4 linked regions of the Bombyx mori genome follow. The protein of the gene in region 2 purifies or fractionates together with the protein of the main gene of each other region. This does not show direct contact. Links are inferred from orthologs where the notes say so. Each region holds a gene or a part of one and is shown on either strand. Other genes may lie near its edges.

Region 1 (5,341 bases), on a different chromosome or scaffold from region 2:
TAGTTACAAGAATGGTATGAATCTCATGTCTGATGAATAGAGGCTAATGCTCTGTACATCACAAAAGAGAATCAGGTAATATGAAGTCAAACCCTCACTCCGCTGCAAGTTTTTACATTAATCACATATTTTTAATACAATTTTCGTTTCCTTATAGTTAATTCCCCTCAACCATTTTAACACCTTCTAAACTGTTTTTTAAACTTCTCATAATGATAATCATCAGTTGCTCTTTCCCCTTTAGCTTTCTTAACTATTTTATCAACGTTCTCATCAATCACGCTAATTTCTGTTTTGGGCACTACAACTTTTTCAATTTTTCGTTTTTTATCATTCTCCATGTTAAATCTGTTATGCTGAACGAAGTTAACGGCCATATTTGTTGGAACAAATTGAGATGGGCCATCTTTTTTGTTTTGTCTTTCCCATATTAATTTCATCTTGGCCTCTTCAGTTGCCTCAATGTTTTTTATTTTCGCGTCAATGCCTAAATCTACTTCTGGTATACCACTGAGCATCTGATTAGAAAGCATTTCTTCTGACCTCTGATTTGAAGAGACTCTCAAATGGTCTGGCAAGGAAAGTAAGGCTGCTTCCTCGGGAGACAAATACTTTAGTGTTTCTGTATGGTTGTGGTCTTTATTGTCTTTGTCACATCCCTCTGGAATTTACAAAGCACAAGTTAATTTTATATTAGTATCTAAACGATTATAAATAATACTATCAGCTATGTAGGGACCTAAATTTTTATTTTTTATTGCTTCGATGGGTGGACATGCTCACAGCCCACCTGGTGTTAAGTGGTTACTGGAGCCCATAGACATCCACAACATAAATGCGCCACCCAACTTGAGATATAAGTTCTAAGGTCTCAAGTATAGTTACAACAGCTGCCTCACCCTTCAAACCGAAACGCATTACTGCTTCACGGCAGAAATAGGCAGAGTGGTGGTACCTACCTGCGCGGACTCACAAGAGGTCCTACCACCAATAACAAACTATACAATCTATTTACCATTTCAAGTTTCCAATCAACATATCTTTGTGCATTTATTTACTGAGTAACCCAAGTTATGTGCATGTAACACACATTTTTTTTCATGGGTATGCTTCCAACTAATTATTTTGATGTGATATAAATATAAAGTATCAATAAGCTTTTTTTTTTTTTTTTTTATTGCTTTTATGGGTGGACGAGCTCACAGCCCACCTGGTGTTAAGTGGTTACTGGAGCCCATAGACATCTACAACGTAAATGCGCCACCCACCATGAGATATAAGTTCTAAGGTCTCAGTATAGTTACAACGGCTACCCCACCCTTCGAACCGAAACGCATTACTGCTTCACGGCGGAAATAGGCGGGGTGGTGGTACCTACCCGTGCGGACTCCCAAGAGGTCCTACCACCAGTGATTACGCAAATTATAATTTTGCGGGTTTGATTTTTATTACACGATGTTATTCCTTCACCGTGGAAGTCAATCGTGAACATTTCTTGAGTACGTATTTCATTAGAAAAATTGGTACCCGCCTGCGGGATTCGAACACCGGTGCATCGCTACACACGAATGCACCGGACGTCTTATCCTTTAGGCCACGACGACTTCAAAAGAAATTATTAATATCTGCAGTCAATAAAAACAGTATCACAGAGGTTAGCCCTCTTCACACTTATGCATAAAACCTGCTCCAAATATTGCACCCAAAGATACAAAACAACTAACTTATACTATCTTAATATCATACAACCTGTAAAAACAATAATTTTCATTTAAGCATACATGATATTTCTAAGAGGCATGTATGTCTAAACGTTGTTTAAGTTGGGATGTGGGTGTCTCTGTAGGGTATGTGCAATTCAATTGAGTGTATAATATACTTACTACAGTATTTACAATACAATATTTTTTACAGATTCGGACCAAATATAGAATCTTAGTGAGTGGTATTTTACATAATTGATACTAGATTTTCATTTAAGCAGCAATATTAACAAGTTTATTAAGTCTGTTTTTTTCTTCTTTTTTTTTTCTTCTTCCTATATAAACCATTCAAGATGCAATGAAACTTGGTATAGTTGTTATTGGTACTTTTGGGAGTGTTGTTATCATAATACCATGAGAATAGTTTAGCAAATAAGTGCTTATGCAGCTTAATGTAATATATGCTTAGGTGTTAGTAATATTAGTAATATCAAAATATACATATAATCCCATCTAGACACTGGTCACAACCACTACCTACAAAAAAAAAACAAATTTACATGAGTTCTAGGAAAACATGTAGATACTGTTTATTTAATGATCTTGTAATGGATCTATAAAATTAGTAATTGATTATGATGTGACAGAACCTCAAGGATGTGATATGGAAAATGCAAATACTATTTTATTGATTGATTTTAAATTTCAGTCTTGAAATAAAAAACCATTAAATTACAGTGGACCCCCTGTAATCCGACAAACGTTTTGTAAGGCAGTGTCAAACTACCTATTACATTTGTCGAATTATACAAGTACTGCCTAAGACCCCCTTTAGTCCAGATTTTTTTACAAAAGAGTACTTTATAATCCAATAAATTACAGATCCAGTAATAAGATTCTGTATGTTATATTCTGAAATGCAAATCATACTTCATTATGTATATTGAATTTAGTAAATTAAAAAATACAAGAGAAACCTTACGTTTTATTATAAAATTAACGTCAGTAATACTTTAAAACTTACAAAAAATACTTTACGAATGCCATGACGACTTTTGAAACTTTCTAGCCACCCCTTGCTGGCCATAAGCATCTTTTATTTTATTTAAGTACTTTAAAAAACTTAAGCTTTCATGGTCAAGATGGAGCCTGAAATGGGCGCATGCCTATTTGTTATCAGTAGTCGAATTCAAACTAACCTATCAAAACCAAAACAATACCTAAGCGTCTAGTACAATAGTGATGGCGCATACCAGTTGTAACCTGTTCAATCATGCATTATCTAAGTACATTAGCGAAGACTGTCAAAAAATATTCAATAATAATAGACATTTCGGATTACAAGGGGTGCCAGATTAGACAGCGGCAGGATTACCGGGGGTCCACTGTTTAAGCAAAATGTAAATTTTTATGTTTGGAAGCTCGTTAAATATTTTCAAGTAGAACTAACCTTTTCTTTTTGCAAGTTGTTCTTCGATGTACTTCATCATCTCCTCATCTTCGTCGCGTTTGTTCGTTTCCGCTGAAAATTGTGTGCCTATTCCGGTATCATACGCATCATCCACCTGCTTCAGTTTCCCGTTCTTAAGGGCTTGCATGTTAATCATCCCGCCAGTTTTAACTTTAAAAGGATCTTTACAAGTCATTTCATCTTCCAACGTTACTTTCTCGCCGGTTGCCAGGGCTATGATGCTCACCCCATTAGGTCTTTCTCGAAGTTTCTGAATTTCTTTTGTTTCTTGAAGTCTTTGCAAAATGTGCTCCTCATCATCAGAGTCTTCATCTTTGATACGCGTACGAAGATTTCTAGGCTTCTTAGATTTCAATTTAATTTCTTCGACTTGTCGATTTTCTTGAGAATCTGAATCTGCCATATTCATTATTTATGTTTGATCTTTTTACCATAGATAACTTATTTCCCTTTTTTAAAGAATGACTGCTTGCAATGTCATTGTTGCCAGTGTTGAGTTAATAAAAATCTCTAGATAAAATATACTTAAAATAAATTTTACTCTTTGAGAATAATGATTTGGAGAAGAATGAGATGAAATTTATTTATTTTATACTGTAATTATGATGAAATTAAATTAAATAAGATGCTTTAAAATATACTGTAGTCTCAGTAAAATTACAAAAATTTACTTAGATACATTCATTATATGAAAGGAAAAATTACATTTATTTATTGCATAGACGTCTGAACGAGCTCAAGGCCCAACTTCAATAAAGTGATTACCAGAGCTAGTACACATCTACAACGAGAGGTCACCTACCGCTAATTGTAGAATATAACAATTCGTTCATTTAACAAACCAGAACGTAGAACTACTTGGCGACCTAAATACTGAGATAGTGCCTATGAGGGCTCACATTAGGTAGTTATTTCATCCACTGCCAAGCTGTCATGCGTTCCAGTTTGAAGAGTAAGATGACCATTATACAACATAATTTAGATTTCTACCTCATGTCTCAAGGTATATCTCATAGCTTTCTCACTCTGATCTCTATTAGCTTTGATATCACTCAATACAAGGTACGCCATAAACTACTTTAAAGACCAATCAACAGTAATATACGTAGGATGTAATGAAACCCAAGGGAGTTGCTGGTCTCCAACCGTGCGCCTCCGTGAGAGGCGGATAATGGCAGCTTTTGGTCATCATTCCCAGAGATATGATCGCACCGATGCGGACCAAAACCAGCACGAAGTCGAGTAGGAGGGCCGTGCTCTCAATGCTCTTCATTTGATGAAGAGTGCTCCACTTAGAGAGTGAGCCTCCCGATGGCACCGATGGTTTGCCGGCGTACCGTGTGCAGTGGTACTCTGTGTTACTTGTGTTAGTAGTGAGCCGGTGCTACTTTTGCATCTTCCTGTCGCTAGTTGTTATGTTCCCGACTTCAACTACATAGTAACGCCCTCCAAAGGGAGGTACCGGTTTGCCAGCGTGGCTTCGAGATTGCTCGTTAGAGTATCGGGCCGTGATCAGCCGTGCTGCTCTTTGTACTCGGCGGGTTGCCGGCCAACCCGTAATCTTCACCGAATGGAGACGGTTGCTGTTGTCGCAAGTTACGAGGCCGCAAGTACGTAAGCCTCCGGGTGTCCTTGGGGTTTTTAATACGGTACTTCCTTACCCCGCCCGGGTTTTGACCTCGGGGGCTACGGACGCCTGAGCAAGTGCGGGGGAGTTGTTTAGTGGGTAGGGTCTCAAATGCCATTCTTGGGCCGCCGTGCCACCACCATCGTCTGCGGATCGTCCGATCCTACATACCCGAACAGCCTTTCGCGATTTCTACTACGCGAGCAGCGATTTCTACTTCGAATCAGTTGTTTGTTCCAATGATGATTATGGTTGGTTTTCAGGTCTATTTATAGTCATAGTTGTATTCAAACTTTACAAAATATCATTTTATGTTTACCATTAAAACTTTGATTTTTCCCTAGTAAATTTGATTTATTTTTAAGCTGGCAACTGAAAACACCCAACATAGGCAAACATTATATCTTATCATTCTTTTATCAATCAACTATATAGTGATAAGAAACAATAACACGAAAATCATACAGATATTATTTTCTTCGAACACGAACGAAATTCCGATTTGAATATTTCAATACAACTTTCAATCAAGTGCAGCTG
Region 2 (5,272 bases):
ATATAATATGATAAATTTGATTTTGATAGACAGAACATATGATAAATTTCTTTTTGGAAATTTACAAACATTCAGAAAAGTTTTTAAAGTAAACAATTTTTTTTAATGTAATCAAACATTTGTTACTATGAACGATTGAACTAATAAATAATATCATAAAATTGGTTCTACATGTACACAGTACACAATTAGGATAATATCATCTACCTTGGAAAGTGTCGGTTGCACAGATCATCCAAGTTAAATGAAATATGAAAACCGTCCTTATGGCTCCTCTTCACAATGGGCCATGATGGGCGATTATAGAAACTCAAGATAGTGTAGAGGGCATAAATGTGTGTGATCGGCCATCATCGCGTATGATCGTGCGCAATCGGCGTTGTGGCGGTAGATCAAAAGAATGATGGCCCATGATTGTGTGAGCGTCCACACCATCGCCGATTAGTCAGGATGTAGTTGTCTCGAATGTGTGTCAATTGTGTCCACTTTAAAACTATGGTTGCGTGGACCTTGTTTTGGTCCGATTGATAACCACCACCCACCACCTTATCTTCTTTCATCTTGCATTGCTGAAGTCCATGGGCGACTCCGTCTGTCTACAAGAGGGATTTAAGAAAAAAAAGTTTTCACGATTCTTTTTTCGCGCACATTAACTAAATGACTATATAGACTATATAGAACTAAAAATATTGCCGCAGCCGCGATCTCCTCGATTTCCATCATCGATACCTAGACGTCTTAACATATCAGTAGACAGTCAGTAAATAAACGTTCACGATTGTGTGGAGAGTTGCCCCATCATGGCGGCGATGATGGACGATTGTTTGTTGGCCTATCATGGCCGATTGTGAAGAGGAGCCATTAAATATAATCTATTGAGTTCCATCGTCGAGTTTCACTACGACCGGCCTCTCGTCTTCATCGTCAGCGTCTAGACCAGTGAAATCCCATTGCAATTTGTCGGTCAGGTTATCTTTGAAGCGTTCAATCATCGTCAAAAGTCTGCCGTCGACTTTGCTTACGTAAGCCGTGCGGAAAAACTCACGGAGTTTCTTGTATACTAAATTTTTATTCATCACTATATCGGCTAAGAAATCTTCGGGCATCTCTTCGATTTGCACCTCAATAGTCCTAATGAAGTGAAAGAAAACACTTCTGTATTTGTGTATGGCCTCGTCACACGAACATATGAGTATGACGAGGCTCTTCCAGTGCTCAAAAGCCTCTAGGGAGTGCCCAATCAAAAAGCACAAATATGCGAATTGCAGTTCTCCTATGATGTGTAGAGGTCTGAAAAATAAAACACGTATATAGAATTCTAGATTTTGGCTTTTGTGCATTTAATCATGTCAAGAGTCGAGACTTGACTTTAGCTTCCTGATAACTTCGGCACTGAACAATGCTTAAAATATCCATCATAGACATTCAACTGTATATGTAATCAACATATGAATGTAGTATGTAGTCAACAAAATTTTATATTAAGATACCCTCAAATTTCTCTTAAAATACTAACAGTTAATAAAAATAGATACTTACTCATTATGCTGTGCTATCATGAGCTCTAATGAGTATGACTGATCTAAGTAATGTTTCGTGATCTCCTCTGGTGTTGCATCCGGTGGATATTTATCTTGAGGTATTTCTGTGAATCTCATAGCAGCTCCTGTAAAGATTCACATTTTAGAATTCTTTTATTTTTTTTTATATTTTTTATTGCTTACATGGGTGGACAGACGACAGGCTCACGGCCCACATGGTGTTAAGTGGTTACTGGAGCACATAGGCATATACAACATAAATGCCGCCACCCACCTTGAGATATAAGTTCTAAGGTATAGTCAAACCGAAACACATTACTGCTTCACGGCAGAAATATGCAGGCTGGTGATAACCTATCCATGCAGCCTCACAGGTCCTACAATCAGTAATTAATTAGGCGTGTAGTTTTATTTTAGTAGATATATAGGGGAAAAATATTATTTACATTTATCTTTGTTTCATTAATTTACCTGGAACTGGTTTCAAATCTGGTAACAATGACTTTTCTTTCTCTTCCCTTGTGATTCTTTTAGCTCTCTTAGCACTTGAGTGTCCGGCAATCTGTTCTTCACTGAAATCCTCTTTAGTGGGAGATTTTTCATTCTCCTGACTTATTGAACTAGATGAAGACTTGACTCCTCTTGGTCTTTCTGCATCAGTCATCGATAAAAGCTCAACTGATGCTCTTATCATTCCACTTTCTGGTGCCAATTTTGCTGCTAGTTCAGCTGACAATAGAAATTAAACTTAGTACAGATTATTGATATAAGATTCTGGAATAACACAATATTTTAGTTTCTTGTATGAATTGTTTTTTCTGATACAAGCCTAAGTTTACGGGGCTCAAACCAGGAGTGTTGCTAACACTGCCTCTAGCAATAGCAGTGCTTCGCAGAATCTACCACCGTATCGGAAACGCAACCCCCTGAGAAGATCCGGTGAGAAACTCAGTAGACTGTGTCTATGGGTTAATTTTACTCATTAAGCCCTTCATCACAAGCGACGGGTTCGGCGAGGACAGTGACCAGTCTCAATATGCTCCACTATGCCAATATGACCAGGCTCATAATGTGAACTACCACCAACTTCAACAAGACTAAGTTCATTCAAGATTTGTAGGGCAAGTATTTCTTTAATTGAAGACACCAACCAGTGATCTGTGAAGACAGTAACTTCCACTTCTGCCATATTTCATATGGATATGGAGCAAGATGTCGGTCCAAATTAAATAAATTATCTTTCAAACGTTGGATGCTCTCATCACTGATCTCTTCCTTGCTCAAATCTTCAGTTTTTTTGTCCCACATTTTCACAAGAAATTCTTTTTTGTGAAAGTAATGCATGAAGCCAGATCTGGAATTTAATCAAGAAAAGTAATTTATTTAGGTATGCAAGTAACAATAATATTGATATCAGTCTCATATAAGTTCAATAACAATACACGAAGAAACTTAATAAGCTGTATACATATATTTTGTGCTTCGAATATGTAAATTCTGAGTGTAAATCTGATATCGAATTACCATATTAAAATTAAGTGATAAGATTCCAAAAACAACCTCCAAACTTGAATTCCTTGTATAGTACTAGGATTGTTTTTTTAAAGTATATATAAAACGCACTTACCTAGGTGCAATATCGCCAGTACCTTTACTGACAGCAGAGTAATGAACATAATGTAAGCCTGGAGGAATCATTTTAACGCCACGAAAATCTTCCTCCGTGTTCCAGCACTGCATATCGATGCCAAACTGGGTTTCTGAAGGGACTCTCAAGAATACAAACGTGCCCCCTTCCACTAGCAGCTTTTTCGCTGTTTCTTGATCCATATCCAACTATGCTCCCGAAACAATGAAATATGAATTAATGGTATGATAAAAATACATACAATCAATCAATCAATGTGTTTACATTCGTGAGTGTCAAACGTCAATGTCAAAATCTCGACGCGTGCCGATTTGAATGTTTCTGAACGTGAAAGGTAGGTACAATGCAGACTGAAGTGAATAGATTTTTTAATAATTTTCTTAGGTTTGAAATAATGTTTTTGTTCTCAACTATGTAAAACAATGTTTTAAACATTAAAAGCACCATAACCCAATACGATTGTATTTAACAGTAACTAAGTGTCTGTCTGTTATCGAACTAACCCCTGTATAATATATATTGTGTGCGTCTTATTTGTTTTAGGTAAATCAACAGAGATCCTGTCATCAAATATTCTTAGCTACTCACTTAATTCTTAGTGAATATCTGTGACCTTGCTCGTTCACGAAGCCCGCTATAGAAAGCAGAGTATTAAATACACTTGACATTGGCGAAATCTAAAAGGAAACGCCATAAGCCTAAGAGATAGATAGATAGATAGATAACTAAGTGATGTGTCCTTCACTTGTTCTATTTGTTTATTTTTTCAGCATGGCTACCTACGACTATCTTTATAACTCAATTCATTTGAAAAACTAAGTTTATAAATATATCATGTTTAATTTTCGGCATATTATTATTAAGTTAATTAATTTGTTATTTTAAATCTGTCTGCTATCTTAGGATTTGTTTTTCTACATGAGCACAGAATCACGCTTTTTATAAAGTAATTTCTCTAAAACATAAGACAGGAGGGTAGGTACATTAATTTATATTTCTGTAACGCTTAACGGAGCTACTCATAATAGAACAGAGAATAAGTCAGCAGAGCGTATATGAAAAACTTCGACGAAACTCAAATTTGATGAAATATATTGATCGTACGGACTTCTGAGACTCCCACCTCACCACTCGAATCTTAAAACGGAAGCGCATCTCAAAGCGTGCCCGCGTCGGGAGAACACGCGGTGAGATCTAATCGTGGTGCTGGGGAGGGACATCTCCTTGCGACTGTCGTTGATCTTATGTTAAAGGACAAGAGTTCGTGCGAGGCTTTGCGAACTGATTCTGGTGTTCCATGAGGCTGAGGAGTGCGAAAGGGAGTGGGATCTCTCTTCAGGTCCTCAGCGAAGAAGGCGGAGTGGGCGGCGCGGGCGCGAAGCTTCCGTTCATCTCCCGTAGGGGCCGTCAGGTACAGAGTCCAACACAACCCGTTCTGTTCCCCCCTCAATATTAAGAAACCAGGTCAACGGGATGAGCACGATAGGTGATAGATAATCTAGATTAAGGCGAAGACCCAATTAGAACCCTGTAATCAATGCGAATGCTTTCGAACATAGTATATAAGTATACTGGTATGTTTAATCTTGTTATGATAATTAAGATTTTAAAATTATATTCATAGTTAATCCCTTTAGTAGTAATAATATATGACAAGGCACTATATTTTACAGGAATTCAGTGATTAAAACTCAGAGGAAAGACCATAATGCAAAACCTTATGGTATTTTTTATTCCATCATCTTAATTTTTTATAAAAAAGTCTGGTGTGGTTCGGATCGGACGATGTTCAAGTTAACTGAGAAATAAGAAATTTGTTTTGTCTTATGCAGAATTTGAGATAAGAACACATCCGAGAAAAGTTTAATTATATACTGAATTTTATAAGACAAAAAAAAATATGTATTGTTATTACCTATTACATTTCTGTTACGTCTCTAATATAGTTTGACTTAATCAAGTAGGTATATTTTTTCACATACGTACATAGTCTCGTCCTTTAAAGTAATGGAATAAAAAAAAAGATCCATTTTTCGGTCGCCAAAACAAATTCCGACCGAATTACGTCTAGATTTTTCGAATT
Region 3 (5,091 bases), on a different chromosome or scaffold from region 2:
TACATTGCACATAGACGAAAGTAGCCCAGTTTCCTCTTACATGTGGAAAAGAACGTTTTCGGCCTTTATGTTTTTGATGATCGTCTATGTGTGTTTCTTCAGTTAAAACTATTCGCACACGACTGAGATCTGGAACTGGTAATTTCACTCTGAAACAAATAAAGTTTATTATCAGGAATATGTTGATAAAAAATAATCAAAAATCAAATAATAATGCAGGTAGTATGACCTTTTGTACAGATGTTGTTCAGTTTCACTGTCACTATTCGTTGAATCAGATCCGTAATCGTTGATATACGACAGACAAGACATGAGTTTAATTGACAAACAGCCGTGAAGATCAAATAGTATTTAAGCACAAGCGACGAAAGACGACAGAAATCATAATCCTAAATATCAAGTGTAATAAACTAGGGACAAAACTAAAAGTATGCAATAAAAACATGGAAGTGACACTCAATGTATAATCTATGCATGGATTTTATGACCTGGTAAGTAAGACTTTTAGGTCATGTCATGTTTGATTTATATTCTTATTTTTATGAAAAACTAGCGACCTGCCCTCGCTTCGCTTCGGAAACTGTAATTTATTATTGTTTTCTCCACTATTTAATGGATGTTATTATACATATAAACCTTCTTCTTCAATCACTCTATTAATTAAAAAAACCGCATCAAAATCCGTTACAAATAAATAGTTTTAAAGATTTAAGCATACATGGGGATATAGGGATAAAGAAAGCGACTTTGTTATAAACTATGTAGTGATGATAATATGGAGTGAAATGAAATGAATGAATTTACTGGTGGTAGGACGTCTTGGGAGTCCGCGCGGGTAGGTACCACCGCCTTACATATTTCTGCCGTGAAGCAGTAATGCGTTTCGGTCTGAAGGGTAGGGCAGCCGTTGTAACTGTAGTGAGATATTAGAACTTATATCTCGAGGTGGGTGGCGCATTTACGTTGTAGATATCTATGGGCTCCAAAAACCACTTAACACCAGGTGGGCTGTGAGCTCGTCCACCCATCTAAGCAATAAAAAAAAAGAAGATTAATTTGAGACATTAATCAACTGGGATGAAATAAAATGAGATGAGATGATATGGGATGAACTATAATCTCAGTAAAATGGTGGTCATTTACAGAGTTTTTTTTAGTATGCTAGTGGACTTTTTGGCTGGAACGCGAGGAGTGAAGTTGTATGATTTGTTTTATTTTGTCTATTTAGTGTTTCTTCGGGTTTAAATGTGTAATAATGGTGATTTATTAACTGTTTAGTATCTGTGAAAGTGCACAAATGTGGGAAAATGACATAAAGCCGCTGAACGTAACTTCTCGGGATCCTCCAAAAAGTTCCATCACTGAAAAAGCCTTAGTAAATGACCACCATTTTACTGAGATTATTTTTCATACCATATCACCTCATCTCATTTCATTTAATTTCACTCCATATTATCATTTTTTCATAAAATAAGAATATAAGCGGTAGGCAGCGGCTTGGCTCTGCCCCTGGCATTACTGAAGTCCATGGGCGACGGTAACCACTCACCATCAGGTGGGCCGTATGCTCGCTGCCTACAAGGGCAATAAAAAAATTATAATATATATATATATAAATTAAAATTAGACATGACCTAAAGATTATAGTTACCAGGTCATAAAATCCCTAAAAAAAATAGCATGCTAGGCCGAATAACCATAGACCTTTAAAAGTTTCATATTCAGTGTAATTAACATTGAAATTTATATTTGATTGAAGAAATGTCTTTCAATAAAAATGCAGTTTTTTCTGAACCATTACACGAAGATACCGTATATTGCACGTTTTATTCTTTATCATTGCTTGAAAGATCACAATGGGTGTCATTGTGTGACCAAATCAATGAAACAATCTTAACTTTGTCAAAAGATTACATCTGGCATAGAGATGTTTTCAAAGTCTTTCTACCAGTTTATGAGAATAAAAATCTACACAGTGAGTACAAGTAGTAGTACATACAAAATATCAGAAGAAAATTTTATACACCATTTTAAAAATAAGTTAATCCTATCCTGTTTGTAGAGAATAAAAAAACAAAACCTATAAACCATTATTTTTGCAGAGAGCGACTGAAAAAATAAAATATTATATTAATTGAGAAATTTCCTATAAGCCAAAGAAACAAAGAGACAAACAAACTGATCATAATTGATTAGACACTTGTTTTATACACATTAACTTGAAAAAGCCTTTGTTGAAATTTAAGACGTTTTTTATAATTTTAGAAATGTTATTAATCAATTAAATGTTATTTTATTTTATCTTTTTTTTTCAGACTATCCTATGCATTTAATTAATGTAACATGTTTTGGTGACAATATTGAAGATGAATGGTTCATAGTTTACCTTGTAAAAAATATAACAAAGCTATACACTAACATAGTTGTACAAATTAAAGACAGTGATGGTGAATTTTTATTAATAGAAGCTGCAAATTATTTGCCTTCATGGGCAAATTCAAATACTACAGAAAATAGAGTAAGTGTTGTGTGATATGAGGGTAGGACAGCTATTATACAATAAGAGATTTTTGGCAGTCTCAAGGCATTAGCTATCACTTAGAATTCTTTCTGATCTCCATTCCAATTTATACCAGTGTATCCAGTTTATACATAATAGATTGAGTTTTGCCTGTTTAGAGTAATCTACATTAATTGACATTCATGAACTTATGGAATAGATATGAAATCATTAGCTTTAATTTAAAATATAAATAATATAAAAATACATTTGTCAAAATGATTTTCATACTGAATTTTAATTCAATTTCAGATAAAGTAAGTTTTTAAATCATACAACATACATTCATAAAATCACTAATGCTTGAAAATAAAATATTTGTACTTAATATACACATCATTTTTCCAGGTGTTCATTTACAACAACAATTTACATATAATACCTCCACATGTGGCAAGTATAGATGAGAAGTTAGAAATATCAGAAGCATTAAAATACTTGGAAATCAATAAAGACACTAAGTCAACACATGAAATTGAAAATGCTATATCGTTAAGAATTGAGAAGTTTTCTAAACATTTAAGTGATTATTTCCATACATCAGTTGTTAGACTTCCAATAGAGGTAGCTACTTTAGTGAAACTTGAACCTCAATACATTGCTAACTTTATTAATGCCTATTGTAATCATGAAGAATCTAAGTCCTGTCCTGTGATTAATTATGAACATTTAGTGGATGTTCCAGTGAAGTTTACTAAATTCTTGTATGCAATATTGATGCAGTCAAAACCTATTAAACATTTTAGTAAAAGAAAATCCACAAATGATAAGAGCACTTTACTTGGTTTGAAAATTTCCTATGGTTATCAAATTATAACCAACTCATCAAATGAGGTTTTTTTAACCAATGCATATAATAAATTTATTGCTACTTTAAGGAACAATGGTTATTTTAAAGGTAATTTAGAGGGTTCTAGGGATTATCAACAGCTTTTAGAAAAAGCTAAGGATTATTTCTTAAATACTGAATGCTCAGTAAGTTCTAATGCATCTTACAATATTGCAAAAACACTAAGTTCAGAAAATTTCACTCAAGAAATGGAAAATATAAAAAATAATAGTACAAATTTGGATTTCTCAGATGATAACGATGACTGGATGACCATTCATCCTGATGAGTTAAATAATACATTAAATTCACGCTATGGCCAAAAATCTAAATTTACAGTAAAAAGTGAAATTACTCCAGAGTCGATAACAAAGGACCTTAATAATTTTCTAAATAATACTTCAAACTTTGAGGGGATTGAATCAGAATATACTGATAATAATACTATTGAATTTGAGGCAGATGAATTTCAATCTTGCATTGAGAAGTTTTTGGGATTATTGACTATGAATCAAAATGATGTGCAAGAAGAGTCAGATTTATTAGATGATGAAGATTGTATTTCCGAAAATGGAGATATTACGGAAGAATTAGAAGAAGAAATGAAATCTAAACTGGGAAATGATGATATAGACTCATTACACAATCAGAAAAATATTTTACAAAATTTCTTGCAAAGTATTAAAGAAGAAAAAGCTGCATCTGGTCCTTCCAGTAATCTACTACAGTCAATAGGCCTTAGAAAAACAGAATTATTAGACTCAGATGATGATGATGATAATAAAACATAATAACTTAGTGATTTGTTTTATTGGCCTTCATGGGTTGAATAATTCAAGGCTTGTCAGTGTTTAGTGGATATTGGAGTCTATAGACAACCATGTTGTCTTAATGCATTAGCACCCAGCTGGGGCGAGTCTTCAAAGGTGATGGTCGATTTATGAGAGTTCAACAGAAGGCCGCACGACAGGGAGCTTTAGCATGTCATGTCCGGAACGAAAAATGAAAGATAGTCAAATAAGTGGGTCCTTAAACACTACCTTCTATCTGCAGCGACTGTCGCGTTGACTGGGAAATAATTTGCGTGCCTCCTCAGCACGAGGAGGCTATCAAGTAGGAAATTCGACCTCGGCCCAAAAAAAGAGAATGTTAAATTTTAAAAACAAAAAATCTTAGTAGGTATCTATCTACAGTGTCTACATAAATATTTTTATAAAGGCTTGATGTGAAAGATATAAAACTAACTAAATTCAAAGATTAAATGGCTTTCGCCGAAGCACCAAACGTCGGAATGTTAAGAAATCTTAGAATAGAAATTTTTTTTTTTATCAAATTACATTATGGACCTTAACACCCTATAAGTTAAAGAAAATATAGGATTGCAGTGATCGCCTTGTACAAAGTAGTAGTAGTGGTAGTTTTAAAAGTAGTAGTAGTAGTATAGAGCCGTCGGTCATATTCCAGACACTTCAAAAGCGTGGTCTCAGCTGTATGTTCGTATATTGGACTATCACAGATACAACAAAACTTCGTCTGTCGAAGACCAGAAAAGATCGGGGTGGCAGCGTGCTGTTGGAACTACAAAGGCTGTTAATGCTGTTAAGCCAGAGTTCGTCGAAACCCCATTAGGAAGCAAAAAATCTAATAATGTGGTAAAAAAAATATATATCATAAATTAGTATCATAATAAAAAAATTAAAAA
Region 4 (5,237 bases), on a different chromosome or scaffold from region 2:
GACATCCACAACGTAAATGCGCCACCCACCTTGAGATATAAGTTCTAAAGTCTCAAGTTTAGTTACAACGGCTGCCCCACCCTTCAAACCGAAACGCATTACTGCTTCACGGCAGAAATAGGCAGGGTGGTGGTACCCACCCGCGTGGACTCACAAGAGGTCCTACCACCAGTAATGAAGTAGTGTAAGTTAAATGTGACTGTCACTATGTTCCTAACCTGTAATTCTCAATTTCTTCATCATATTTCTTCTCATTCATTGGTACAAAATTGGCAAGTTGTGTCACCTTTAACTGCTGGTTTATGTTACACATTTTGCACAAGCCATTGTTAGGTAGTGTCCTTTGAAATACCTTTGGGGTTTTTGGAGTTTCTTCAACATTATTGACTATAGGCTTATTGTAATCCCCATCCTGAAATTTAATATTTTATAGCTCGTGAGGTCACCTTGCACAAATGCTAAGTCAATTACATTAGCTTGGTAACAGTGAAGAGTGATATCATGAAAACTACATTTACAATTTAATCTAACATTTTTCACTATAATTATATTAAGATCAGTGGTAGTTTTAGAGGCCAAGACTCAATAGGGCCTATGAACAGTTATCGCCTTTTTTATATTGTATGTATCTTTTTAAAGACGATATTTTAGAACTAAAAATATTATTTGGAAAATAGCCAAATTTCATAAAAATACTTTACAGGTTTAAGATTTAAGTCACAATAAATTTTTAAAAGAAAATAAGGCGATAATTCAATAGCGATATTTTTGTTTCGATATATCAGAAACTTTTTACTATTACTATAACTGAGTAGGTAAATTAACCATACCTCAGTGAAGCCGTTATATTGTTCACACTTTGGACAAGTCCAGCTGTTGCGTTCTATAAATTTTACCCAGAAATTTGAGTTGCAGAACCAGCAATTAACACGCCACGACAATAACAACCTGTAAATGCAAAATATTAATTTTAGAATAATGTAAAGATATCGGCGGGAAAGCTTTTTATATCGCTGTCTTATTCTTACCGCAAATTATATATCAATTTAAATATTAAGGTTATGCACATAGCAGATGTTATAAAGATTAGTATTGATTCCATTTCATGCATATTTTAATATATACGACACTTGTTTCATTAACTAAAAAATCATGTTGCTTATCCTAACCTAAAATGACATTGTCAGCCATTTTCCTTTTGATTAAATTCGCTTTTTTTAAGGGATTTTATGACCTGGTAACTAAGACCTTTAAGTCAAGGATTAAATTCACTTTTTCTTTCAAAGATTTCGATGGCCATTAGAGTATCATCTTTTTAGCCTATGTTGATTGTTTTAATTTTAAAATTATTTTCAACATTGTTATAATTTATAGTAGTAATTTACAGGTTTTAATGTAATCGAAAAACAGCTTCACAGACTACAAATTTATGCTTACATATGCGTGCGGTTTTATTATATACATTTTTGTTTTTTTAATATTATTTCACTGGTTTGCAGTAGCGAATATCATGTTGTTGATTAAAACAGGAATTTATTTATCAAGCATGTACCACGCAATTTTCAAGCATGCAAACTGGCTCAGCATAAACCTATGTGACATCCTCATTCCACTTAGACCATAGCTTGAAAGAAAAGCTGAATCTTTGACATTTCGGTTCACATCCTGGGTGTGAACACCTTTCATTTATCACTCGCCTTAGATCAGCACGAGGGCGGTAGTATTTAACGTATATTAGGTTTCGTTGGCCAAAATATGTAACCCGGCCAGCTTGTGCTTTTCACTTACGATTATATATAAAGCATGTTTTTATTAAATTATATGATTGACAGAAGACAATGGAATGGTGTTTTTGACAAATACCTGAATAGTGATTTCTTGTGAATTATTATATAATAATATTATAAAACTTTTAGTATTCGAAATTCCACAAGTGTGAAGAAATTTTATGAAATATCTGAACATATAGTTATAAAATAACTTCCCAGATTCACCTACAAAGCCAATTACAGGAATAATACCATTATTTATTGAGGAGATTAATGATTACGTCTGTAAAACAAGTTGGCTAAAAGTCGAGGTGGTCGCGAACAAATCGCAAAAAACATTTAAGAATTGTAAATGAATGTTATCTATGCTTGTAATTTGAGGTTATAAAACACAAATTTGAAGATTTATGAAACATCCTTGTAAACAAAAAAACTCGAGATAGAGTAATTTTTAACTTGTAACTTCGTGATCAGTTCTTTAGATAATTTAAAGATATTCTTTTATTCAATTGACTTCCTAAAAATGTCACATGAACTATTATATCTCTGCAACTTTGATGATAATCCTGATACAATCAGTGAGGAAATGTTTGTTAATAACATTTAATTTATTTATTTTTATATTTGAATTATAAACATTTATATACATGTTGCAGTTGATGATAAAATCAAGAAGCTATGGTGTAATGAATGGTGTATAGAAGATGTAAACTTATGTAAAGAGTTATTTACCAGAAGGTTAGAAACAGATGAACTAAAAACTCTTCTAAAAACACAAAGTGATTATGAAAATTATTCAAGTAATATGCTGGAAATGGCTATAATTTCTCTACTAAGATATTGTGACTACAACTGGAATCCGCATCCCGAAAATTTTGATATAAATGAATTTTTTAAGAATAAATGGCCAAGTGATATTAATATTAATGAAAAAATGCAAAGAGATTCAGAACCGTTGCAAACAAATATCAGGCATGCAGAGTTATTGTATTTTTCAGATCAAATATTTAGTACTCTATCAGGTATTGAGCCAACTTATGTAAGTATACCCTTGCCGATATAACACCTAATATATTATTGAATTTTTAACTAATGTTTTACTGTCATTGTCATACGTTATAATGATAACAAACACCAAAAATAATACACATAGTTTTCAAATAGTATAGTATTATATCAGTAAAAGTATCACTTAGCAAGTTGAATGCCACATAAAAAATTGAGTATTTTCATTCAGGCCGTGGTGCTTACCAGTGAGCCTTTTCTTACTGAGATGTTCAGGCCATAAGTGTCACCTGTGAGCCATGTGAGCCTTTCAACAAAAATTCATTCATTTTCAAATCCAATCAAAAGTTGTAGGTTTTATCATGATTTATAACTTTTCGAAGTATCTTATAAACTAGACGGTAAAAGTTGCTAATTTTTAACTTCTGTGGATTTTATAAATTTTAGAAAGAAAATCTCTAGTTGATAAAACTGTTTCTCTGATTTTGGTTTGACTCGAATGGTATAGTATGCTAGGCCCAATGGTGGGCTGCATGTTGTTCAACATGTTAAACGCAGTTACATATATATGCTATATTACATATATAGCAGCAAATTTATGCTATTAGAATTTCTTATACAACAGACCTGATAATATGAAACTTAAACACAATTAATTTTAATTAAATATCCACAGTTAAATCTATGGTGGAACTTCCGAAGTAAAGTAGCTCACCAAAGAGCATTAGAAGATACAAGTGCTACACTGTTTGCTGAACTTGAACTCATAATAGCTAAGCTTTCAAATAAAATGCAACAATTGCAAGATAAACCTCGAATTAAGTTATTATTATGTTTAGAAATAGCACAAGCATACCTCATCTATGGAAGGATTCAAAAAGTAGAGGAGTATTTACTTAAAGCAAGAGAGATTGCTGGGTTGAAGCTAGAATTGACGGGTATACATATACATTTTTTTTTTTATTTCAATATAATTGCATAACTAATTATTGTTAATTATTTTTTTACACATTATTATTCTTTAATATGGAAGTCATCATTGAACATGTATTATTTCAGTAGAGAAATTAATACTTGCCTGCAGGACTAAAACAGTAATGTAGTCCCATTGCACAGTGCAAGTACACCAAGCATCTTATTTTTTTGGCCATGATCACTTCATTTGTCTTAACAATTAGTAGAGATCTACTCTGGCTGTCTGGCCTGATTGATGTTAGATAAGAATTAAGTTCCAATAGTATTAGAATACCTCTAATTATAACAGATGTTTTTAATACCACAAGCATTAATTGTAATAATAAATAATACCCGTTGTGGGAATAAAAGGCTAACTACCGGCACTCAGTCACCCAATAATAGAGGTAAAAGATATGCAACAATACAGGTTGACACACAACAATCAAGGATGGACAACATAACATGTCATTCAGCTGCATAGAGCATACTTATCCCCTGATCAATAATTATCTAATAAAAGCACAGGCCTTCCTTTATTGTGATGGCCTATATTAGCCTATCTACGCAATGTGCATTGATTATCACACTGTCAACTAATCGGATTGTTCATATCTAATTTAGGGATACTCGGCAAAAGAACAAAATATCAACAGAATGCATTACCTCAATTGGCATTAACTAGTGATCTGGATTCTACTGTTGAACGTCCCTCAGCTGAAGAGAGTCATGGTACTGCAGACTTACCAACTGATATTGAACTCCAAGATGATGTCAGACTTGATAAGATTCAATACTTGGAGAAGATCACACAAACTCAGTTGCCTAGTTTGGAGCAAACATTGTGTTTGCTGACTGTGTTAGTAATTTGCATACATATTTATTTATATCCATACACATATAAGATAATACAGGAATTATAAAGACTATAATATTAAATGTTGAAATAGTAGATTTTTAAATTCGATGAACTTAAACAGCACCCAAGACTACCTCATAACAGAATAAGGACGCTGGGTAGTGTAAATGTAGATGCAAAAAATGTCTGTGTCCTATTTTACTGTACAATGTTGTTGCATTGATTATGATTTATGTACTGCTGCTATTAATGCTGTTATACTATTGATACTTCCTTTCTTTTGTTTTGGGGCAAGCAGCATTATTTTCCACCTTAATCAAGTGACATAAGTCAATCTTTAGCTTAGAAAAATAAGCGTTTATTTGAAAACATTAGTTAGATACATAATTCTTCAGAGATTACAAAGACGTCATGAGTTAGAAATGCACCGTATCAACTCGACAAAGAATCAAAATAAGAATGTACATTATGTCTAATAGGATGACAAGTATTTAACACAATACTTTCCAATATTTTGACATTATTTTCAAATTGAAAATATTTTCTAAAAAAGCTTGTACCCATAAAAGTTCCGAGGAACAACATTCAGACCATTGGTTTACAATGCAGAATAGAACGCTCGATAGAAGATACCTTCCTCTTGTAATTTC

Evidence for each region.
Region 1: the proteins of protein AAR2 homolog (region 2) and uncharacterized protein LOC778507 purify together in Homo sapiens (affinity purification with mass spectrometry; 3 studies listed by BioGRID and IntAct, with this or other methods). This does not show direct contact. The link is inferred for Bombyx mori from reciprocal best matches to the Homo sapiens genes AAR2 and C9orf78.
Region 3: the proteins of protein AAR2 homolog (region 2) and protein ecdysoneless purify together in Homo sapiens (affinity purification with mass spectrometry; 3 studies listed by BioGRID and IntAct, counting the BioPlex papers as one, with this or other methods). This does not show direct contact. The link is inferred for Bombyx mori from reciprocal best matches to the Homo sapiens genes AAR2 and ECD.
Region 4: the proteins of protein AAR2 homolog (region 2) and tetratricopeptide repeat protein 27 purify together in Homo sapiens (affinity purification with mass spectrometry; 3 studies listed by BioGRID and IntAct, with this or other methods). This does not show direct contact. The link is inferred for Bombyx mori from reciprocal best matches to the Homo sapiens genes AAR2 and TTC27.

Annotation. Positions count from the first base shown.
Region 1 is NC_085120.1:2,479,217-2,484,557, forward strand, and holds uncharacterized protein LOC778507, read right to left. Parts: upstream 3,350-5,341; coding exon 3,154-3,349; intron 662-3,153; coding exon 177-661; downstream 1-176. UniProt on the Homo sapiens protein: Plays a role in pre-mRNA splicing by promoting usage of the upstream 3'-splice site at alternative NAGNAG splice sites; these are sites featuring alternative acceptor motifs separated by only a few nucleotides. May also modulate exon inclusion events.
Region 2 is NC_085115.1:3,918,803-3,924,074, forward strand, and holds the start of protein AAR2 homolog, read right to left. Parts: upstream 3,475-5,272; 5' UTR 3,372-3,474; coding exon 3,169-3,371; intron 2,896-3,168; coding exon 2,693-2,895; intron 2,271-2,692; coding exon 2,013-2,270; intron 1,667-2,012; coding exon 1,540-1,666; intron 1,291-1,539; coding exon 873-1,290; 3' UTR 1-872. UniProt on the Homo sapiens protein: Component of the U5 snRNP complex that is required for spliceosome assembly and for pre-mRNA splicing.
Region 3 is NC_085117.1:12,227,788-12,232,878, forward strand, and holds protein ecdysoneless, read left to right. Parts: upstream 1-1,662; 5' UTR 1,663-1,761; coding exon 1,762-1,975; intron 1,976-2,315; coding exon 2,316-2,518; intron 2,519-2,908; coding exon 2,909-4,180; 3' UTR 4,181-4,187; downstream 4,188-5,091. Other genes in the region: U6 snRNA phosphodiesterase 1, read right to left, coding at 4-149, 230-312. UniProt on the Homo sapiens protein: Regulator of p53/TP53 stability and function. Inhibits MDM2-mediated degradation of p53/TP53 possibly by cooperating in part with TXNIP. May be involved transcriptional regulation. In vitro has intrinsic transactivation activity enhanced by EP300.
Region 4 is NC_085116.1:3,139,294-3,144,530, forward strand, and holds the start of tetratricopeptide repeat protein 27, read left to right. Parts: upstream 1-1,677; 5' UTR 1,678-2,292; coding exon 2,293-2,347; intron 2,348-2,425; coding exon 2,426-2,808; intron 2,809-3,450; coding exon 3,451-3,712; intron 3,713-4,352; coding exon 4,353-4,587; intron 4,588-5,237. Other genes in the region: transmembrane protein 201 homolog, read right to left, coding at 219-412, 831-948, 1,029-1,111.